Linked DNA regions of Tamandua tetradactyla. The protein of the gene in region 3 interacts with the protein of the main gene of each other region in a pairwise test. Links are inferred from orthologs where the notes say so. Each region holds a gene or a part of one and is shown on either strand. Other genes may lie near its edges. The genes, in order: SRGN, TRIM23 and UBQLN1.

Region 1 (7,832 bases), on a different chromosome or scaffold from region 3:
ACTTCACTGTATTTTATTTAACCTGATATATTCATACCATTACCATTTTACCATAATCAATAGAAAAGTTATTAATGGGCTATTTTACATCTTTTCTTCATACTCCATCTTCAAAATCTGGTGTATACTTTGCACTTAAGGCACATCTCAGTTTGGACTTGCCACCTTTCAAGTCTCCAGAGCCACCCGCGGCTGGTGGCCACCTTGAATGGACAGCGCAGGGCTAGACAGTCCTCTGCAGGCTGCTGCTTAACTGAATATCAGGCAGCAGAAATTTTTGCTTGGGTAAGAAGTGAAACAGAAGACTAAAACTGATACTTTATGAAGAAGCATCCAGGCAAAAGACCACATCTCTCCATTTGTACAACAAATATAGTTTTGGTAGAGTATGCTTTAAAAAAATTTTTTTTTCTAAAATACAAAATCCCCCCAGAGTTCAGAATCTCAGCTTTTAAAACATAAAGAAATAAAAGCGAGAAAGCCTAATTTGGGACTAAGGGTTTTAAATGTTCTTTAAAACACAAAATTCCTGAGATATTTATTTGAGAAGAGTGGCCAGCATGTGAAAATTCACCAACGGGCACTGTCTGTTAATGTGAGAATATCTTGACTCCACCTTGCTTGAGGAAAATGTCTTATGATTATCCTAATTTTAAAAATAAAAAGGAAGTATGCTCTTGGACAGAAAGGTCCCGTTTATAGCACATGCTGGTTAATTTTGTGGTGGATTCCAGGGGAAAGAATGATTTTTAATGAGAATCCCTATTCTCAATGCCCCCCTCCCACACACACACACACCCCCAAAGGTCACTAGTTCTGTTTTACCAAAATACTTTTTATAAGGAAATGTCACCGGGGCAAACAGCTTTCCCCAGTAGTCTCTTTATCTTTTTATATTGTAGTACCAAATTTTCCCCATAGTGCCAATTTACTAATTTTCTTACCTTAAGGAAGAATTACTGCACGCATAACAGAGAAATTTAAGCAGAAACTGCAATCCTAAAGAAAGACCGTTTTTGATTCATTCATAACAGTAGCATGTAAAGAACAGCATCATAGCTTAGTTGCTACCTACTTGCCTAAAAGTAGATAAGACTCCCCAACATTTGCACAGTTTGACAAAATTATAAAAAGAGTGGAAATCTATTTTCAATTTCTCCCTACTATCCCTCAACTCACGGGTAAACATCACAGGCAGGGCTATTGTCAAAGGAAAGCTTTTTGTTTTTTGTCTAGGGAAGGCCAAATTGCAGCCGGAAAGTTCCTTAACTCTGCCATTAAGTAACTGTTGGGTGCCTTAGGCAAGTCTCTTAAACTTTTTGCATGAGATTAATATAAAGAAGAAATGAAATGATGGGTGTAGCAACCAGTTCTCTTGTCCATAAATTGGTGCTAAATTCCTCCTTGCAGGGAATGTGATGATCATCCCCAAGCAAGGATGTGGTCACTTTGCAGACATCGCGGCCTGTGTAGGGAATTACTAACAGCACTGTGACCTAGGAGACAAGTCGGGTGGACACTTGGTCTGGCCCTGAGTCCTGAGGCTGCAATCATAGATTTTTCCATTTTCTCTCTTTATGTTCATCTTTGAAGAAAAGAACTTCAATTAGAGTTTAAGACTTACAGCCTTATCAATACTCCTCTGAGCTCTAAATTAAATAGACACCTATGCTCTCCCGGGTCTCACACACATTGCCACACTTGTATTTGACTTTGCAACAGGTAGACGGGGTTTTGCCCCAGGTTATTACTTAGGATTGCCTTACAGTGACATAAGACGCTTTGAATATGCTCAGTAAAAGCAAATTACGGGCAGGCCACGGTGGCTCAGCAGACAGAATTCTTGCCTGCCATGCTGGAGACCAGAGTTCATTTCCCAGTGCCTTCCCATAAGCCTCATTAATATGATCAGTTCAGCCAAATCAACGGGTTGAGTAGAATTGTTTTTAAAAAGTTGAGGAAGAATCGTCAAATCATGTTTGGCGCCTCGAGGATGTATGATGAAATGGCATGGCTCTTGGCGTTGTCGCTGTGTGTTGCTGTGGCTCCTACAGGCAGCTGTGGGCATCTGTTCCTTTTAGCATTCAGATGGTGGCACCTGTCAGTACAGCACGAAGGAAGCTTCTCCTTTGGAACCTCCCTAGTTCTTCAGCTCATTTATTGCCTCTTTTTCAGTTTTCTTTTCCAACAAAAATCTAAATCTACCAAGCGATGATATAAATGCCAGTATTTTATACAATTTCATATTGCTTTGGTTTCTTTTTTCATCTTTATTTATAATGAAACATAAGGAACATTTTTTGTTTCAAGCAACAAGGCTGCTGGAACACCGCTCTACAGTTCAGGTGCTTCCTCCATCCACTCTAATACACCATTAACTAAAAAGGGATATCTATAAAATGCATAAAAATAACCTCCATGAAAGGCGAGCATTCTACCACTGAACCACCTGTGCGCCCAAATGATGTAGCCTTCGCAATGGGACTGTGTGATTGTGAAAACCTTGTGTCTGATGCTCCTTTTATCTACCTTGTCAACAGACGAGTAGAACATGTGGAATAAAAATAAATAACAGGGGGAACAAATGTTAAAATAAATTTAGTTTGAAATACTAGTGATCAGTGAAAGAGAGGGGTAAGGAGTATGGTATGTATGAATTTTTTTTCTGTTTTCTTTTTATTTCTTTTTCTGAATTGATGCAATGTTTTAAGAAATGATCATGATGATGAATATACAACTATGTGATGAAAAAAAGAATGTTCATATTGTATGTTGACTGGTTTTATTAATAAAAATTTTAAAAAGAGAGAGAGAAAAAAAAAAGAATAACCTCCAGGATAACCTCTTGACTATTTGAAATCTCACAGCCACTAACACTTTATTTTGTCTCATTTCACTCTTCCCCCTTTTGGTCGAGAAGGTTTTCTTAATCCCTTGATGCTGAGTCCCAGCTCATTCTAGGATTTCTGTCCCCCGTAGTCAGGGAGATCCAAACCCCTGGGAGTCATGCCCTGTGTGTGGTGGGCAGGGCAGTGAGTTCACCTGCTATGTCGGCTTAGAGAGAGAGGCCACATCAGAGCAACAAAAGAGGTTCTCTGGGGGGTGACAGGCCTAATTTTAAGTAGGCTTAACCTGTCCTTTCAGGAATACGTTTCATAGGGGAATCCCACTGTTCTTGATCTTGTCTAGAGCACATGGTTCTAGGAAATTTTTTCATCAAAAAAGCTGAAAATGTCTCCCAAAAGATACAAATAAAGCCTGTTCCCTACAATTGACAAAGTTTTATATTTTAAATATATATATACAAATTAATGGAAAAGTTTCAGTAACATTACTTACTGAATTAAAGCTTCTAATATATAATGAATGTATATCTGAAATCATCTACAAGATTTCATTTCCAGCGGAAGTAAGAACATGACAACTAGAAGTTACTTCAAAGAAAAAAATCCTGGGCATGTGTGTCACTGTGACTCAACATTTCCTTTACATCTTGGGGGAACTTAATGTTTTTCTACTATAAATTCTGCCATCTATGTAGCAGACCACAACCTTCTGCCTTACTTAGACATGATCCCTTGTTTACAGAGAAGAAATTATATTCTTCTTACAAATTGACCATTTTTGTTTTCTTGGTCATTGAAGGTTTTTAAGTAGATTCTGCCTAAGTAACTCTAAACTTAAAAAGAAATTTCCAAATGTGATATTTCTCTAAGCACCAGAGCAAATATTAAAATTATTTGAAATTTGAGAGAGTTTGCATTAATTATGTATGTATAACCATAGGTGATTTTTCACTAAGAATTAAGTTAAAATTGAAAGGAGAAAAAGCCAAACTCACCCCTATTAAGAAATAGTAGTTCCCAGTGTTAAAATAAATGACATCACCACTATGCAGTACAATTCGGAATTGATATAGAAACTCAGGGGTAGGTATATAGATACTCCAAAAACACTCAAAGATGCCGTCTTTTCCTTACAACAGACACATGGGATATTTTCTATCTTCCTTTCTTAAGCTTTTTTATAAGCCACACATTTCCATCCCCAAATAAAGCTCAGCCATTGCAAGACCTCAAAAGGCTGCACCTGCTTCATTCAGAATTTTAATTTTTCTTGGTACCAAACTTAGCTGAACTCACTCCAAGGAGATCAGCCACCCCAAACCCCACTTACGTTCTCACAATATGAAAAATTCTGTACGTTAGTGTGAATATAAACATTTATATGGGGGCTAGAGTTCACAAAGAAAAACAGCCAATCCTGGATCTTACCTTGAACTGAAGATTCCCAAAACAGGACGAGGGAGATGGCCAGGACAAGCCCGCTGCTGGAGAGGAAGCCCCGCATGGTGACCAGCACAGCACGCTTGGCCCCGCCGAAGCACAGCCACCCCACGACCAGGAACCGTAAGCAGAGTGCTTGCTGTCCCTTTTAGACAAGGTTCCGAAACCTCAAACCCTGCCCAGAACGCACGTCACGATTTCCTGAACAAATAAAAAGAGATCCACATGAAAATCTAGAAAGAAAAGAAAAAAAAAAAAAAAAAGCAGCAGCAGCAAAACAACTATTCATACCCATTATGAAACTGTACTGGACTCTCCCCAGGTCGGTTTTTTCAAAAGTTCTGTTGTTTGCCACTTGCCTGTTAAAATTTTTTTCCCCACCGAAACAGTAGAATCAGCATTCAGGGCAGTTTGTTTTTGCTTTCTTCAGGTCACAACCTACACAGGAGATTGCTAACATGAAGACTCTACTGCCTATTGATGAGATAAGGAGCTAACCAACTCTTCATCACTGAGCACCTTCAACAGAAAATGTTCTCGATTTTCTTTCTCATCAAAGAGGAGCACAGCTCACTGAACCAAGCTGCTGGGCTTCAGAAGACACACCCCCACCCCTCAAATAAAGAAACAGCCTTGTCCCCCAGGATTACCCGGTACAGACTCCATATTAATGAACACGATAAATACAACAGTTTATCACTTGGGGACACACTTTCTTCTTACTTCCTTTCAGTATTCTGTCACTTTTTATTTCAGTCCCATCTGTCCCTCCAGCTCCCCCAGACAGTTTAGTACATATGCATCACTTTCCATTTTCCTCCACACTCTTGCCTGTTCTTTGATAGGAGGGAGGAGTTTCCCTTCTCTTGTTTTAGACTTCCTTTACCATTTCCTGCTAAGGACAGGCCTCAGAATCTTATCACTGAGTAGCTGTGGAAGGAGGCAAAGAATGCACATTTTAACCCTCCTCATAAGCCTTCCCAGAACCATGCATAAGTGTATCCCGCAATCCCGGGACTCCTCAGAGTGCAGCAACCCCCAACTCACAAGCCCAGCGAACTCCCCTCTCTGGAATATCGGTTTCCACCTGATATATAACGTCTTCAGTTACTTTTCATTCTAACCCCCGATTGAAAACCTAGGCACCAAAACAATAGTTCCTGTCAATAAGCTTCAATAAGTACCCTAGTAAACTCTTAGAGCTATTAAAGCTTGTGCTTCAAAATGGTAACTGGGGGTAGGGGTGGGGGGAGGGGGGCTTTTCCCATTTGGATACTTCATTTTCCCTTTCTTCAGTCTTGGTGATTTAAAAAAAAACAACCAAACTTTGCAGTATTCATAAGCATTTGCCCTTCTTCCACCACAATGACAAATGTTTCTTTTTCTAAGAACACTCCCTCCAGGCTCATTTCCTTCGTTCTTTCTCAAGCACAGAGGAGCAGAACAAATGCACACCAGCAACCAGGAGTCCTGGGTCGGAGCCTGTTTCCCTTACTTACCAGCTGGGTGAGGCCGGCCGCCTAACTTTTCACACTTCCACTGTGCTAACAAGGGTGGGAGAAACCAGGGCGAGGGTGCAGTGGTCAGCGCTCCTCCAGGCTGCATATCAGCTTCTTGCCCAAAGTTTTCTCCATTCTCTAAAAGCTTGTTTTCCATAAATTTGAAAGACCAAATCTATTCCAGAATTAACCCATCACATGCCAGGCAACCTTAAATGCACCTACTTGACTTCACATTCAACTGACTTGCCTGTAAAATGTATAACCTTATTCCTTAACAATCACCCTGCAACATGGCAGAAATGAGTTCCTCATTGTCTAAGAAAGTAATATAACCACCAAAAAGGAGTTATCAACATCGCTTTTCACTAGCTTTTGGTTTCAGAGTGTTCTTTGTAAACGGTGAATCTGTGTAGAGAGCATGAACCTTCCCAGCGTCTCACTTCAGCAGAATATTTGTTAAGATGAATTGAGGTTTTCAGAAGAGAGATGGAGGGGAGCAGACAGCTGCTCCAGGGATGGCTTCAAGGCTCACTTCTTTTTCTAAAGGCCCAAGTGAAAGATTCTACCAGGAAACTCCCTCTAGGACTTTTTCTTGGCTCTTTATTCAGAAGGTCTTCAATCTGAACTGGGCATTGCACCAAAAAAAAAAAAAAAAAAAAGCAGATTGAACTTGTACCAAATCTGTCCCTTAAGCCTAAAAGACAATCCTTGCAAAAAATTTTAGATCTAGAACTTAGAAATCATCTAGTTTTCCTATTCATGGGAAACAACCCAAGTCCAGAAAAGTTACATGACTTGCCCCTGGTCACACAGAACAGCTAGTGAATGGCAAAACCAAGACGAGAACTCAAGTTTCTTAATTTATAAGCCACTGAATAAAAGAGAGGAATGAAGGGGGTACAAAATTTTAAACAATCAAAAGTCTTCCATTTAATCATTTCCTTTTAGACACACCTAAGGTAGTATTGGGGATTAAATCATGTTCCCCACAAAAGGCAGGTTAATATTCCAACTTTGGTCCTGCGCATGTGAAGCCATTTGTAAAGAGGACCTTAGAAGATGCTATCAGTTAAGGTGTGCCCAAACTGAATGAGTATGGGCCTTAATCCAATATGGCTAAAGTTCATCTCACAAAGGAAATTGGACAAAAGAGTCATGTCCACTGCCATGTGACAGAAGAGCCAAGAACCAAGGATCTCTAGCGGCCAGGCCCAGAGCGCCAGTCTTTGGAGATAAAGCATTGTCTTGCTGATGCCTCGATTTTAGACTTCTCCTAGCCTTAAAACTTTGTTTAAGCCAACCCATCATTTGGTATTTATTTAACAACTGAGAAGCTAAGACTATGTTTGAAATGATTAGATGACTGGGATTTGCTCCAAAATAATCCGGTTTAAGGAGAGGGGATGAGTGGTGGGTTGATAATTGCTGAAGCTGAGCAAATGGATAAATGCAAGTTCATTATAGTATTCTCCCTGCTTTTATACATGTTTGAGAATTTCAATGAAAGTTTTTAAAAATCATCCTTTTAAAAAGGTATTATCTCAGGTGGGTGGGCCACGGTGGCTCAGCAGGCGGAGTTCTCACCTGCCATGCTAGAGACCTGGGTTCAGTTTCCAGTGCCTGCCCATGTTTAAAAAAAAAGATTAAAAAAAGGTATTGTCTTCTTTGGAATCTATACAAACAAGAAACCATCTCTTAATTTAAAAATGGGAACTTGCGGACGGGCCACGGTGGCTCAGCAGGTAAGAATGCTTGCCTGCCATGCCAGAGGACCCGGGTTCGTTTCTCGGTGCCTGCCCATGTTCAAAAAAAAAAAAAAAAGGGAACTTGCAAAACCAACAACAAAAGTCTAGTTTATTTAAAAAGCAACTTATTTATCCTTGGCCTTGGCTTTCAGGTACTTTCAAGTTTCCCATTCTTTCAATCCTACTCTCATCCCCAACTGAAGTGAAGAGACTGTGACAAAGACAAAAATGTACTGATGCTTCTGGTCCCAAAGAAGCAGCTACCATTAGTGTTCTTGGTCTCTTCACCAACTAACAAA
Region 2 (7,832 bases), on a different chromosome or scaffold from region 3:
AGACACTCATACACTGCTGGTTGCTATGAAATATTCATTCATTGATGCAGTCTCTATTGAAGGCAATTTGGCTATATATATATATCAGAAGTTTAAATAATTCAGTAATTTCAATTCCAGGAATTTAACTGCAAATACATCTTGCCTGTGACAAGGCCTCTATACGAGGTTATTCCCCATAACATTTTTTTTTTTTTTTCACACGGGCAGGCACCAGAAAGTGAACCCGGTCTCTTGCATGGCGGGCAAGAACTCTGCCAGTGAACCACCTCGGCCTGCCCTCCTTATAACAGTTTTGTATTAGCAAAAGAATAGAAACAACTTAAATACACATGGATATAACTATGCAGTCTAATGAGGAAGAGTTAGATGTTCTTTATGTACATGTACAGAACGATTTCCACATGAATAAAGCAAAGTAAAAATCCGTATACAGAATATATTTAATTTGTGTAAGGTGCAGGAGAGAGAGCATAAATACTTAAGTCTTTCTAGAAGAATACATAGAAAAGTTTGGCTCCATATGAGGAAGGGATATGAGTAGCTGGGGAAGGGCTACCCATAAAATTATACATATTATACATATACACTTCAATTTATCTTACATTTAAAAAAAAGAGGACAAAAAGTTTACTTAAACATCTATCTATTCCCACTCAAACTGAATTAAATACAGGAAAGATATTCACAATAGAACTAGGTATTATGAAATAAAAGTAACAAGTTTTATAAATATTTTCATTTATTGTGATATAAATCAAACTGATCTATGACAATAGACTACAAAGAAATAAATAAAAATTTTACTTAGTTCATTTATACTTAACTAATATCTTACATATCTGACCTCATCAATAAACAAGATAAAAAAAATTATGTTGCTACCATAATTTTTTCAAAAAACATGAATAAAATTCCATTACTTAGAAAACCAAACACAGGTCCAAAAACAAGATTACTAGACTATTTGTATCAATTTGATAAATAGCAGAGCAAGAAATCCTTTCTTCAGTATTTATAAATAGGAATTATGGCTAACAGCATAAGAAATTAGGTCCTAGATATAAAAAAAAATCTACTAATTTTATAAATCAATAAACTTCACGAACATGCTAAAGAGGGCTATCAACAGGTAAATAAAATTTTCATAAACCAGACCAGACTTTAAAAGTACTAAGAAGGTTGTTGTTCAGATGTGTCCTCTCTCTCCAAGCCAATCCAGCAGGTGAACTCACTGTCCACCCCCCTACACAGGACATGATTCCCAGGGATGTAAATCTCCTGGCAACGTGGGACATGACTCCAGGGATACACCAGGACCCAGCATTATGGGATTGAGAAAGTCTTCTTGATCAAAAGGGAAAAGACAAAGAAAAGTTTCAGTGGCTGAGAGATTTCAAAAAGAGTCAAGAGTTTATCAAGTTTATCCTGCATTATATAGATATCTCTTTTAAATTTATGATGTATTGGAGTGGCTAGATAGAAGTACCTGAAACTGCTGAACTGCGTTCCAGTTGCTTTAATTCTTGAAGACGACTGTATAACTATATAGCTTTTACAATGTGACCATGTGATTATGAAAACCTTGTGTCTGATGCTCCTTTTAACCAGGATATGGACAGATGAATTTAAAAAATAAGAAAATAAGGAAATAAATAAATAACATGGGGGATAAAGGGTAAAAAAATTGGGGTAGATTGAAATACCAATGGTCAGTAAGAGGGAGAGGTAAGGGGTATGAGATGCATACGTTTTTTCCTTTTTCTTTTTATTTCTTTTTCTGGAGAAATGCAAAAGTTCTAAAAATGATCATGGTAATGAATAAGGAACTATGTGATGATATTGTGAGCCAATGATTGTGTACTATGGATGGACTGTATACGTGTGAAGATTTCTCAGTACAAATATCTTAAAAAATAAATAAAAAGTACTAAGAAGGATCATTAATCAAAATAAACTTTCTGGGATTTCTTTTTAATGTAAATTATTTAATTTTAATGTCTTTGTTTTAACTCTATCATTGTCAACTTGTTCATTAAGCAAGAAACCATATTAAATATAAGAGAAAAATCATAAAAGTCTTGGAAAAAACATAAGGGAAAGCTTTCATGACCTTGGATTTGGGAACAATTTCTTAGACGTGACATCAAAAATATGAACAACAACAACGAAATAAACTGAATTTCATCAAAATTAAAACATTTGTACATTAACACATTATCAAGAAATTAAAATGAACCTGTAGACTGGGAGAAAATAATTGCCAATCACATATCTGCTGCTACAACTCAACAACAAAAAGACAACCAACCCAATCAAAATATGAACAAAGGACGTAAACAGATATTTCTCCAAAGAAGATATATAAAAGGACAAGTAGCACATAAAAGGATGCTCAACATCATTAGTCACCAGTGAAAAGAAAATCAAAACCACAACTACTTCACACAAACTAGGATGTTTATTACTTGAAGAGAAAATAAAAATTGGTGAGGATATGGCGAAATTAGAATACTTATACATTGTTGGTAGGACTTTAAAATAGTGTACTCTCTGCGGCCAAGACTGGGGGTTCCTCAAAAAGTTAAACATAAAATTAACATTATAACCCAGCAATTCCAGTCCAATGGATACCCCAAAACAACTTACAGAAGGACTCAAAATTGAAATCAGAGACCACAACCGCATTATTTACAATCGCCAAGAAGTGGAAACAACCCCAGGGTCCATCGACAGATGAGTGGGTAAACATGACATATAAGTACAACAAACTATTGTTCAACCATATAACGGAATGAAATTCTACATGTATTTGCTACAACCTGGATAAACCTTGAAAGTATTATGTTGAGTGAAACAAGCAGACACAAGGAGCAAAGATAGAATTCCATTTACATGCAATATCTTGAATAAGCAAATTCATAGAGACAGAAAGTAGATCAAAGGTTGCTGGGGCTAAGGAAAGAAAGAATGTGTAAAACGTTTCTGTTTGGAGTGGGAGAAAAGTTTGGGTAATGAATGAATGCGATGGTAGCACATGAATTTAATTAATACTAGTACAGTATAACTTAAAAATGGCTAAAATGGGAACTTCTGTGTTATATATACTATCACAATAAAAAAAAGACTAAAAAAAGCCATGTTATATATTATTAGTATTTTACGCTTGACCTTTAATGTATTAATGTATTAAGTATTAATGAATACTTCTTACATTCATCTATGAAAATGATAAAAAGATTTTTAAATTCATAGCACCATATTTGTTTAGGAATTGTGGCATGACCATCTTGCCAAAAAGGTCTACTTCGTGCATGGGACCAATATATTTTACATTTAAAGAACAAAATGAATAAAATAAGACTCTAAGAAATTCAATTTGTGCTATAACAAACTGGAGTTATATCAGACTATAGTATACTTTTGATATTATAACAGGATAACAAAAATAGAGCAATGATACCCATTTCAGTTATAGTATAAAATTTCTTAAAGTTGATTCTCAAAATAATCTGCAGGTATGCCCTCAGAAAAAGCACAATAAATAAAATCTCAACCATACAATATGCCTAGTAATAATATCTACATCTCGGTTATGCTGTGTACCTTCAGAATAACTTCATTAGTATATAACAGTTACATAAATCATCAACTACTAAAACTGATTAATGCTAAACTGTGGCCAGAAATGCATCATTTACTGTCATAAAAAAAACATTAGGTGAAAAATCACAGGTATCATTCAAGACCTTAAAATAACTTCAGATATTATCTGGCCCAGTGGTTCTCAACCCTGGTTGCAATTACAATCTCCTCAGCGGGTTTTAAAAAGATGCTAATAACAAATGAATCAGCATTGGGGAAGGAGGATTGCATCTGCAGCTGTTAAAAACTCTTCCGTGATTCTAATACGCAGCCAGGGATGAGAAATACCAATTCCTTAGATTTCAGGTGATCCTGAAGGTCTCTCTAACAGCCACTGAAATCAAGTCTTCAATTCCATATATAGATAGATAGATACATGCCAAGAGGAAAAATGAGTCCCACGTATTTCAGGCGGATTTTTAACAAAGGCATTTTGGACTACTTACATACACACCGTAATTCACAAACACTAGCGTTAAGGCCGTGCAACGCTGCAACTGGAGACTCCTTAAGCGCGGACGGACGGCACTACCAAGTGCGGAGGAGGCAGTTCAACCAAGAATAGACACCGCAGTACAGAACCAGTGCAGCGGGGAGACGTGCACACTTCAGAAGCCGCCAACCCTGGCTCTACCGCACACTGCCACCTACCCCAAATCAAATCCTCATCTGTAAAACGGGGATCAACATCGGCCTCACAGATATTAACGACCGAAAGCACCTAACACTACCTCACAATATCCCAATTTAATAAACAATAAGCGAACTAATGCCTGTTACGGTAAGCCAAAACCCGGGCACAGGCAGCTCGGGTCACTCCCACAATCTCCTTTTCAGAAACGTCCCCGCTGGCGACGTCCAGCACAGGGCCGGTCCGAGCAGGAGACCAGACAATCTCGGGCCAGCGGACCTCGGGTCGCGAAGAGCAGCGCACGGCTCGGCACGCCCGGGGGGCGCAGAGGCCCCGCACCCTTCCCTTCCACGCCTGGGCCAGGCTTTCGGGACGAGCCCCGAGAAACGGAGGCCGACGGTGGACAGAGCACGCCAGGTCCCTCACCTTCACCACGGCCGTCCCTCGGCTGCCCTGCCGGCCGCTGTCTAGACCTGCGCCGGGCTTGTTTACAACCAGGGCAGCCATCCTGGGCGCAGCGGAGCGGCAGAAGCAGCCTTCACGGGCTTCAACGCGGCGGCGAAGGCGAGCCACCTACCCAGACGCCTCGGCGACCGCGGCCGGCGTGGGGCGCGGGACGACGCTGCGCGCGCCCGGCCGGCGGCCGCGGACCGGTTCTCCGCGCGCCGCGTTTTGTTCGCTCTGTTTTTATTGTTTGACTGGTATTAAGGAATGTGCACCTGCTAGGGGAAAGAAAGTCAAGAAAAAAGGATGGGATAAGACAGAAGTAAAATCTGTGAGTGAAACTTGCGCTTTTGTAAAGAAGTCTCGTCCCCACTGCCAGACCGGGCGCAGGAACTACATTCCCCTAAATGCAATGCGGCATTATAAGAACTACAAATCCCAGCATGCCGCGCCTCGCTGCTTACTCGCTGGGGAGGGCATCTGGGCGGCGGTGTATGGTTACCTGGAAGTGGTTTGATATGCGGTTGTAGCCTGAATATGGAGAAGTATTTCATGTATAGATATCTAAGAGACAGGGATTACCTTTGGTGAAAAGAAGCTGTTGGAGCCCTAAAGAACGGGGTAGAGGGAGAATTTAAGGCACCGCTGGCTGAGAAGCTGTTAGAAGTGTTTGACGCGCGGGCTTCCCGAGCGCGCGCTTCCGTGTTTTCTTCTGGGCCGGGCTGAACCTCTGCGGCCCCCGTAGGCGGTGGTACCGGTCAAGATGGAGGTGAATCCCCCCAAACAGGAGCACCTGCTGGCGTTGAAGGGTAAAGTATTGCTAACTTGACGCCCCTTATTCTATTTTTGTTTGTTTGTTTCCTTTTTCTCACTGATTCTTGAAGCCTTTGACATGTAGACTTGGCGTCTGAGGTGTAGTCCTCGCCTTTCTTAAAACGGCGTCAGGGCTGTGCCTCCTGCTCTGCGCCAAGGGACCGAGCGGGAGGAAGCGATTTCGCTTCTTCGCTTTTTAGGCTTGAGAGCCGCCCTCTAGAATGGAATGACACCTCGTACATTACCCTCTCTGATCATGCCCGTGCGATCATCAAGCAGAATTTAACCGCAGAACCTGCTGTATGGACTCTGTTTGGTGATTTCCCCCTTGAACGAGGGTGATTTACAGCGTGCATCCAAAGTGCTTTTCATAGTCTCAGGTCTCTTCGTGTGGCACTGACAGAGTTACCGGGCTGCAGCTTCTTCTGTAAAATTAGTGTAGTATTATGACAACAGTGCCAAGGATTTAGAAATACACAGTATTACACCATATAGCTGAGGTTTGTTAAAACTTACTTTATTTCAAAGCATTATGTATAGGGGAAATAGGTCCAAGATCTCATGTCAATTTTCTATTTTTGTACACCTAAAAACAATTTTTGAGTAAGTTTAACGATTTAATTAGGTCATTATTTAAGAGAAAAAACAGCAGGAATTTAAGGTTTTCCTGGAATTCCTATTGGTTTCTGAAGACCTTTTATTTGAAGTGTTTCCGGCCTTAATTCATGTTTTTTACTATCACAAATGCACTTTTTATTTTTAAGATGCTCTAATATGTGGATACATTTTTGGATTGAGCTACACAAGTGCTCAATGGGCATTTTAATTCATTTGACTTGTACTTATCTTCCTTATGGCATCCATTTTGAGGGATCATAACAGGCATTCCCCTGTTATGCTGCAGTCAACAAACATTCCAGAAGCTCACCAGTTCCATTGGTAACATAGGGAGTTAATGGAACCCTCTAACTGTTGAAGTAAGGAAGCTCTGCAATGGTAAATAACATAGTGATGTAACCTGTAAGCTTAGCCTGAGCAAATGATATGGACTGGAATGGGATATAGGTGGAGAAAAGGGAAAAGAGAAAAAGGAACCAATTGTCGTGTTCTTTATCTCTTAATCTCACAAATCATATGCTGAGTATCTTTATCAAGATCACAAAGCTGCTAAGTGACTGAGCCAGTATTTCAACACAAGGTGGGTTCCCAGTTTCCAAGATACTGTGTTGCCTCCTAAATTAAGAAATAGTATTTTCAGAGATTATTGCCTTACCCATTACTTGGATGCAACACTGAAACAAGCCTATTAGCTTTTGAGTGGATTTTATAAAAATTAGGAGCTGTTAAATACAGTTGAAATTCACCAATATAGAGGCTAACTGCCATTGGGAACTTTTAGGTTTCTGTTATTCTTGTATTTTCCAGAACAGGAAATATCTGGAAAAGAGTATTCAAGCAGCCTAGAAAGATGAGTGCTTTGAAATTCACTGATAGTTTCAGCTTTATCAAAGCTCTTTGGTGCCATTCTTTTCTATTGTCCTAGTTAATAACGAATTTTCACAAGATTAATTTTACTGATGTTGAATGCAAATACATTTGTCGTTTGACTTTGCATTCTTATATTTTAATACGAAAAATATTAAGACAATATATTGTTAATCTAGATATTTAAAAGGAACTCTCACAACTTCAGGTGTTCTTGGATGACAACACTGAATAAGTTGAGACAACAGTGAAGGAATCCTCAATGCCATACCTACCATGAGAAATCATAAGGAAGGGGCAAGAAAAAGATGACAGTATTTATTAATTCTTGAGAGTATATGCTGCCCTATGTTTAGATCCATATAAAAAATTGTGATTAAGAATCAGTCAGTTGTGAATTTGAAAATTGTCAGATATGTTGGTCAGTGGACATTAGCAGCAGGTGAAAAGAATCATTATTAGACTTATCTGACTCTTGAGAATGAAACAGTGGTCAGATGAGTATTGTAACATCATGACAGGGATCCCCACCCATGGGTTCTCTAGCAGTAGGAGAACCCTGGTCAAGTAGTTCTCTAATGTCTTTTGAGGAGAAGGGATTCAGCTCTTGATTTTTTTCTGTAATAGTTAAGATATGAAAGAGCCTGCATTTTGATTCTTGCAGTTTTGGGCCTGGTCAGATAGCCTAATTTGCAGACCCTGGAAGGCTTCGTTCTTGAGTCTGTATACTACATACTGGAACCTATTATCAATGATTTAATTTAGGGCAACTTGAAAACTTCTGTGTTCTAACAGAAAAAAATAAGAATCTAGA
Region 3 (7,832 bases):
GAACTGCAACTCAAGTGATAAAAGGCCAGGCAATCATAAGGAAATATCATTTCACACTCACTAGGATAGCTATAACCAAAAAGACAGATGATGAGTGTTAGAGAGGATGTGGGAATACTGGAATCCTCATACACTGCTGGTATGAATGTAAACTGATCCAGTTGTTTTGAAAAATAGGTTAGCAATTCCTAAAAAAGTTAAACATAGAGTTCCCATACAACCCAGCATTTCCACTCCTAGGTATACATTCAAGAAGTGAAAATATATGTCTACACAAAATCTTGCACATGAATGTTCACAGCATCTTTATTCATAACAGCCAAAAAGTGGGAACCACCCAAATATCAACTGATGAATATAAAAATAAAATGCAGGATTACATCCATATAGTGGAATATTATTCAGCACTAAAAAGGAAGCATTAATACATGGCACAACATGGATGAACCTTGAAAACATTACACTAAGTGAAAGAAGATATCATAAAGGACAATAAATGCTATTATTCAATTCATAACAAATGTCCAGAAAAGGCAACACTACAGAGACAAATTAAATGACTGGTAATTGCCTAGGACTGGGGCTGCTGGGTGAAGGATGCCTATGGAAGAAATGGGGGCCAACTGTTAAAGGGTACTATATTTCTTTTCGGAGTGACAAGAATGTTCTAAAATCAATGGCTGCACAACTAAAAAAAAAAAACTGTATTGTATACTTTAAACAGGTACAGTGTATACTATGTGAGTATATCTCAAAAAAGCTGTTTTTTAAAATTGGCAAGCAATCTGCTAATCAGAATCACTAAATAAGAATTTCTCAGCAGCCTAGTATTACAGTAAAGCAAATAAAACACTGATCTCAGACACTCTTTCCTTAAATGTTTTACAACAACTGATTCATTCCAATCTTCTGGATAAGGGCCCGTGCAATAGAGATATAATGCAAGTCACATATTTAATATTAAACTTTCAAGTAGCCACATTGAAAAAGTAAAAAGAAATAGATCAAATTAATGTTCATTATTTTTTATTAAATGTAATATGTCTAAAATATTATCACTTCAATATATAACACATTTAAAACTTAATAAGATATTTCAAGATATTTCACATTGTTTTATTCATAGCAAGTTTACAAAATGTGGAGTATATTTTACACCTATAGCACATCTAAATTCAATTCCATCTAGCCACATACATATTAAGTGCCCAGTATCTGTATATTACTGGTAATACCAAAGTAGACAGTAAAGTTCTTTCTAGATCAACAAAACAGATTTTAACTTTAAATGATGTTTGTGAGACACTGTAACTGCCCTTATGGAAGAAAGGTTCAATCAGATTTAATACAGTACTTATACTTTGTCTAAGTACAGTAATATTTTTTCAAGAATTTCAAGTGACAGAGGTTTTCTAAGGCTGTATTTTATATCTAAAATATAGCTTGCCTCAATATTTCATGTAATTGTATCTCAAAACTTTACACTATAATCTAGAGGGCTAAAAAGTCCAAAAACATACTAATTGGAGGTTATACAGAAGCTCCCCCTCCATTCTCTGCACCAACTTTCATCACACACACACCATTTCGTTTGTTGACATTATGAATTCTCAAAGCTGCTTCTAATAGCAAATAATGATTAACAGAAAAACAATCTGATACACAGGGACTTTGTGCCATTACATTTATCTGCTTACTTGTATTATGAAAATTCCTATTAACGAAACTACCTTTAAACATGTGTGGTACACTTTATATTTTAATTTTAAACTTCAGGAAGTCATATTTCAAAAGTCCCTTTACAGAGAAATTTAAAAGTTACTCAATGATTGAGTGCTCAGTGAAAAATAAATTTCACTTTAATACCGAAAAAAGCGATAAGCTTTATTATCAATTTTCAACAAGTAACATTTATTAAATACCAACTGTACATGGCACTACATACAATTAAGGTAACCTGTTTCTACTTGTTGGTTATACAAACATAAACTAAGAGAAAAATAGGAAATAAGTTATCAACTTACAACTTCTTTCCTACAATTTACCTAAGTTTTATATTACCTTAGTATGATATATTTAAAAATTTACATTACATAGAAACCTGTACCGAAAGATTTTAAATTGTAGAAAAGATTTGCCCAATAGAAAGCAAAAGACATCGATATTAAGCTTTGAGAGACTCTGGCTTACCCACCTCCCCGACAAGACAAAATAATTTTCAGAACCAAATATTTCCCAATTTTCTACTGAACATTTTAATGGACTCCTAATGTCTTTAGGTATTTTTAAATGACAATTTTTAATTAGACAAATAGTTTAAATCTATAAAATGCTTTTAAAAAACCTTCAAATTACAGGTCTTCTCTTACGCTCCAAGTAGCTTTTTAAAAAGAAATAGAGCATCTGAAAACTGCTCTTCTTATACCTGCACATTTCCTTATATATATGCTTCCCTTAAAAGAGTCCTTACTTATTTCAACCCATCTTCAAGTTCTTAAGGATCAAAGTGGTGAACTTCACTTTTTACCATTTTTCTGCTTCAAAAGAAAGCACTTGGTAAAAAAAAAAAAAAAAAAATTAACTGCCATCAGAAAAGTGACTTTAGAAAGGTTTTAACTTTATTAAAAATTTGCTTTGGTTACAGGGAGGTTAAAAAAAAAACTTCATAGAATTTAGAATTCTAACTCCACCATTACAAAAATTAAAAACAGGGCAGTGCAACGTGGCTCAGTGGCAGAATTCTCACCTGCCATGCCGGAGACCCTGAGTCCAGATGCCTGCCCATGCTCCGACCCACCCCCCCCCCCGAAAAAAAAGCAAAAACATCCTTACATACACATCATAAATTGACCTAAATGAATTTTTCTACTTAGAAATGGATAAATAAATTACAGCATAGTCATATAATGGAAAACAACAGCAATGAGAAGGAACCACTGATAACACAAAAATGAATCTCAAAGGGTACATACCATATGATCATATTTATATCAAGTTCTAAAACAAGTAAAACTAAACGACGGTGAAAAAAAATCTCAACAGTGGTTGATGGAAGGGGAGAGTGAACAGAGCAGGAAAAAGGAGGAAGGAATTTCATGGTCAATAATTATGTTCTACATCTTAATAGGAGTCTGGATTACAGAGGTGTATGCACCTGTCAAAATGTATGGAATGTAACGCCCTTTTATGATTAACTGCATGTCAAATTTAGTTAAAGAAATACATGTAAAAAATACAGAACTCAAGTTAATCATATGTACATTGCTGAAGTACTTTTTCGGGGGATATGTACTGATACTTGCAACATACTTGGAAAAGCATCCAAAAAATAAGATGGGCCAATAAATGATTTAGATATGTGATAGAACAAATATAGCAAAACGTTCATTGTAAGAGATGGACATATGGGTGTCAGACATATGATTCTTTCAACTTTTGTGTGTGCTGGAAAGTACAAATTGTTGAAAATTCCCATATGAGCACTGTGAGATTTAAAAAAAAAGTGTGGTTCAGATAGTGATAAAAGTTTCTCAGTTGATGTTACTACCTACACTGTTTTGCCTCACAGACCACAACACTTTATGGAACGAAATAAACCAATAGTGCAATCCTGTACTTTCCACCCAGAAGCTGCTTATAGGCAAATCTCAAGAATTGTTTTCCTTCATTAACTGTTCACACTGAGATAGAGACGAATTCAATTAAGAAAAATATCGAGGATATACCCGACAATGAACTAAAACAATTTGAATTTCATCGATTCTTAAAATGTCTGCAAAATCTGTATTCTTGTACAGACTTTAAGAAGTAAATTTGGCAATATTTCCCATTAACTTCAATTTTATTTTCTTTTATCCAACGCAATTGCCAAAATCTGAGTAACGCCGCTAACAAATAAACTTATCCCAGAATAGCATCTAAGACATGATAAATATACTAAAAAGAAAACAGTAACTCATCAATGAATGAAAGTCACTCACTTTTTTCCTTAAGACTAATACTATTGAGATGCTGCTGGAAACAATTTATACGTCACAGCCAGTATTTTAAAAAAAGATTGGAAGGTGGGAAAGATTTCAGCAGCCAAATCTCAGAACCAAACATGCACGTGCTCCTTACCCAGACCCAAACCTACCTTAAGCCCGGAGGCAGCAAAAACCACAAAGCACTCCCAGCGCCCCCCCACCCCTTTTTTAATTCAAGAAAAAAAACTAGAGTCAGGAGTTATAACCCTCGCCTCCGCCCAGCCTCCACCCCGCTCGAAGCCAGGCGGCGGGTCCCTTCCCTTTGTGAGGAGCTGGAGGGGAGGCGGCTGGGGGCGGGGAGCGAGAGGGGAGGAGGCTGTGGGTCTGTGGACGCAGGAGGAAAGCGCCGAGGGAAGCGGCGTCCGCGCGTCCCACAAACAGGCCGCGCGACCCCGCCACAAACCTCTGTGGCATCCCAAAGCGCAAACCCGCGGACATAGGTGTGCTCTCGTTTGGGATGAAGCCAAGGAGAATGGCCGAGAGCACTTCCTGGGACGACCCTCTCTTCAGGCCCCTCGAAAACCGTCTCCTCCGACGGAGGCTACAAGTCCTGCCGCCACCCCCACTCCTGCTCCGGCCCGAGCCCCAGGCGGCCCTCACCTGCTGGACGGAGCTATTTTCGGGCACGGCGAATTCCTCCTTTTCCTTCGGAGTCTTCACCGTGACTTTCATGATCTTAGGCTCCGGGGAAGCAGCGGTCGTGGGAGTGCCGGTGCCTTCCGCCGCAGCGGCGTTGTCCTGCGAGCCCGGAGGGCCGCCGCTTTCACCACTCTCGGCCATGGCGGCTGTGACTCAGGCGAGCAAGGAGGGAGCGGGCGAGCGATGTGGAGCCAGGAGACGCCGCAGCCGACCGGCCCGAGCAGCGGATAATGCGGAACCCACCGCCTCAAAGGCAACCGGCGCAGAGCCGCCCTAGCGGGCGAGGAACCACGGAGCTCTGTGTGAGCTCCGACTCAGACCCGGGACGCACCTCAGCAGCTGTGGTGTGTTCAGACGCCGCTAGTTCGCAGCGATATCGGCAGCCGCCGCCGCTTCCTCCTCCCCGCCCCTCCCCCTACGTCCCTCCTCCTTCCTACGCCAACGCCGCGCGGGGCACATTGGGAAACGCAGCTGGCGGCGGCGCCGAGTCATTCTGGGCAGTCGCTGTTGCGACTTCCAGGTGCTTTTCTCTTTTTCTCACATTCCATGGCCCCAAATATAAACGTGTCAGGAGTGGAAGACTAACAGCAAAGTGGTATGTGTTAGGTCAGCTCATTTTTTTTTCACTTTCACAAAAAAATAAAAACGCGGGCTCTGAAAGGCGCTGTAAGGGCACACGAAAATGACGTCACGGGCTGCGAAGTTACTAGAAAGGGAACTTGACCAGTGGCGTTGCGGCCGCGGGTGCGCGTGCGTGAGGGCAGTCCGGGGAGCGTTCCCACTCTCTTACTTCATGTTTCCTTGGTTTACCGCACCGCATGTTGCCTTTTATTATATGCTTCGGGTTTCCCGCAAGGAGATATTTGTAGTTATTTTAATTTGCTAAATTTTTTTATACCTGGAAGACTTGAACTCCGTGATCTTATTGCCTTGTAGGAGGGAGTAGAAAGGTCCCCGTCATAACGAAAGAAAAACGGAGTAAACGCCTGTAAGCAACCTGCGCAATCCAGCGGAGTCATGGCTCCACGCCTAAAGCATCCTGCTTTGACGTCAGCCAGGTATGGTCAGAGGATCATACCACTTCTATTGACAAAGTGACTTTTGCTCCCGCTCTGACAGTGCTACACGAGCGCACTGAATTCTCCGTAAACACTATTCCCCAAAATGTTTGGGGCAAAACAGAATGCCCAAGGAATGCCCACTCAACTGGGACAGTTTAACGGAGCTGAGGTATTCATTTTATAGTTCTCTAGCAAGTTGTTACATTTCATACTTTTCGGTGGTTTTTATGGTAGATCAAAAATAATTTTCAGTGTAATTTAGGTACAAATAATAGGAAATTTTGTTCCTGAAAACCCTAAACTTGAAGTGATGGCATCATTTACCCTTAAAGATGATTTACGAGTATACAATACAGTGCATAAACTTTAGTAATCAGTACTGCACAATCGTAAACTCTCTGTGACCCAAATATGCAAAAAATACATCCTGCATTTCTGTTCTTGAGCCAGCAGTCCTATTATGGGAATAAGTACTGTTGCATAAGGATAGTTTTATAGTGGAGCCCATTTGGTTATAAGAGAAGTTCTGAAAGTACAAATTGCCGTACAGACATTATCTGATAAAAGCTAAATTTCTGGCAGCATTGTTGTTACGTGCAGAAATTACACAAGACCTGAGAAGGAGACGCATGACTACTTAACTATGTCCAGGTATGAGTTAATCACGACTTCTCAAGGTAGAAAGTTCCACCATTGGACAGCGAATCATTTGGAACTTCTTCCATATATTTAAACAAAATATCTTCCCAACTTTATTAGCTCCTCATTGCCTAGTTTTTCCTGCCTCTGCTGTATCTTGCCTGTATCTTTTGTCTGGACTGTCTCCTTTGCCTGGAATGACTCCCCTTTTCTTCATCTTCGTAACTTCTGCTCATCATCCTATGTCATATTCTCCAGGAAGAATTTACCTCTTACCACTTACATATTAGGTGTCCTTTTTGGTGCCCCAAATGAATAACCGTGTGTAAATTTCTAACCTTGCACTTAAGAAATTGCTTCGTAATTGTTGACACATTTATTTCTTAAAATTCTAAGACATATGGCACATTTTATGAAGTAATATTTTATCTGTATGAAAATACAATATAGTTATCTATCATAATCAAGTGTCGGTAAACTCTTTCTGTAAAGGGCCAAATAGTAAATATCTTAGGCTTTGTGGGTCATATGATCTCTTTCTCAAGTTCTGAACTCTGCCGTTGTAGCACAAAAGCAACCGTAAATGAATAAGCATGGCTGTATTCCAGTAAAACTTTACTTATAAAAACAGTGTGCTGACTCCTGGTGTAGATGTCTAGTTAAAGCATTTTCTTCTAAATGGGTTTTGTTTATTAAATAGTCAATATGGAGAAAAATTGTAAGAGCGTATTTTATTCATTGTACAAATGTGAATTGAGTACAAACTCTCAAATACTGTTGAATATCCAAAGACAAATAAGAAGCAGTCTCTACCCTTAAGTATTATTATGGGTGGGGAGATAGGCAGTGGTGTACTAGTACTAAATGTCTATTATGAAATGTTTAGTAACTGACTCTGAGAAACAAACAAGCCTTGATTTGTAGTGTTTGCCAATTTCCTTATGGAAAATACAACATGGCCAATGTCAGTCTACCAACTTGAGCTCCGCTGGCTCACAAAATTCTGGAAATTTTAATAATCAGTTCTCACAAGCCAGTGTGAGCCGACCCTGACATACCACTGTCCCATTGTGAAAAAAAATCCATTCAAATATTCATACTTCAAGTATATTGATAGGATGTTATTTTTCACATGATAGAAGAATTCTTTGACAAAATGTAATCACTCAACAAGAATTTCTTGCATAACTTCTGGGAAACTTTTAATACACTCATCTTGTATCTAGGAATTTACATAATTTCAGCGCAAGGCAGTACCTATGTCAAATAAGTGGTGTAGGTCATATGCATTCATCATGTTTACCCTATTCAAAATCCTTAGTAAGCACTCCAGTGCCTGCCAAATATAGTCCCAGCTCCTTAGCTTGGAATTCAAGGCCTTCCACAATCTTATTTCCGCCTACAAGTTTCACTCTCTTTACTCTGCAGAGATACTGTGTTCTAGTCAAATGTGCTTATCATCATTGCT

What was found.
Region 1: the proteins of UBQLN1 (region 3) and SRGN interact in binary tests that used the Homo sapiens proteins (3 or more experiments, as listed by UniProt). The two-hybrid records come from large-scale screens. The link is inferred for Tamandua tetradactyla from reciprocal best matches to the Homo sapiens genes UBQLN1 and SRGN.
Region 2: the proteins of UBQLN1 (region 3) and TRIM23 interact in binary tests that used the Homo sapiens proteins (3 or more experiments, as listed by UniProt). The link is inferred for Tamandua tetradactyla from reciprocal best matches to the Homo sapiens genes UBQLN1 and TRIM23.

Annotation. Positions count from the first base shown.
Region 1 is NC_135339.1:28,093,997-28,101,828, forward strand, and holds the start of SRGN (serglycin), read right to left. Parts: upstream 4,477-7,832; 5' UTR 4,351-4,476; coding exon 4,275-4,350; intron 1-4,274. UniProt on the Homo sapiens protein: Plays a role in formation of mast cell secretory granules and mediates storage of various compounds in secretory vesicles. Required for storage of some proteases in both connective tissue and mucosal mast cells and for storage of granzyme B in T-lymphocytes.
Region 2 is NC_135335.1:113,428,333-113,436,164, forward strand, and holds the start of TRIM23 (E3 ubiquitin-protein ligase TRIM23), read right to left. Parts: upstream 4,860-7,832; 5' UTR 4,784-4,859; coding exon 4,703-4,783; intron 1-4,702. Other genes in the region: TRAPPC13 (trafficking protein particle complex subunit 13), read left to right, coding at 5,484-5,529.
Region 3 is NC_135328.1:116,705,038-116,712,869, reverse strand, and holds the start of UBQLN1 (ubiquilin-1), read right to left. Parts: upstream 4,895-7,832; 5' UTR 4,806-4,894; coding exon 4,626-4,805; exon of another isoform or gene 4,337-4,625; intron 1-4,336. Other genes in the region: uncharacterized protein LOC143673720, read left to right, coding at 4,895-5,270, 5,601-5,656. UniProt on the Homo sapiens protein: Plays an important role in the regulation of different protein degradation mechanisms and pathways including ubiquitin-proteasome system (UPS), autophagy and endoplasmic reticulum-associated protein degradation (ERAD) pathway.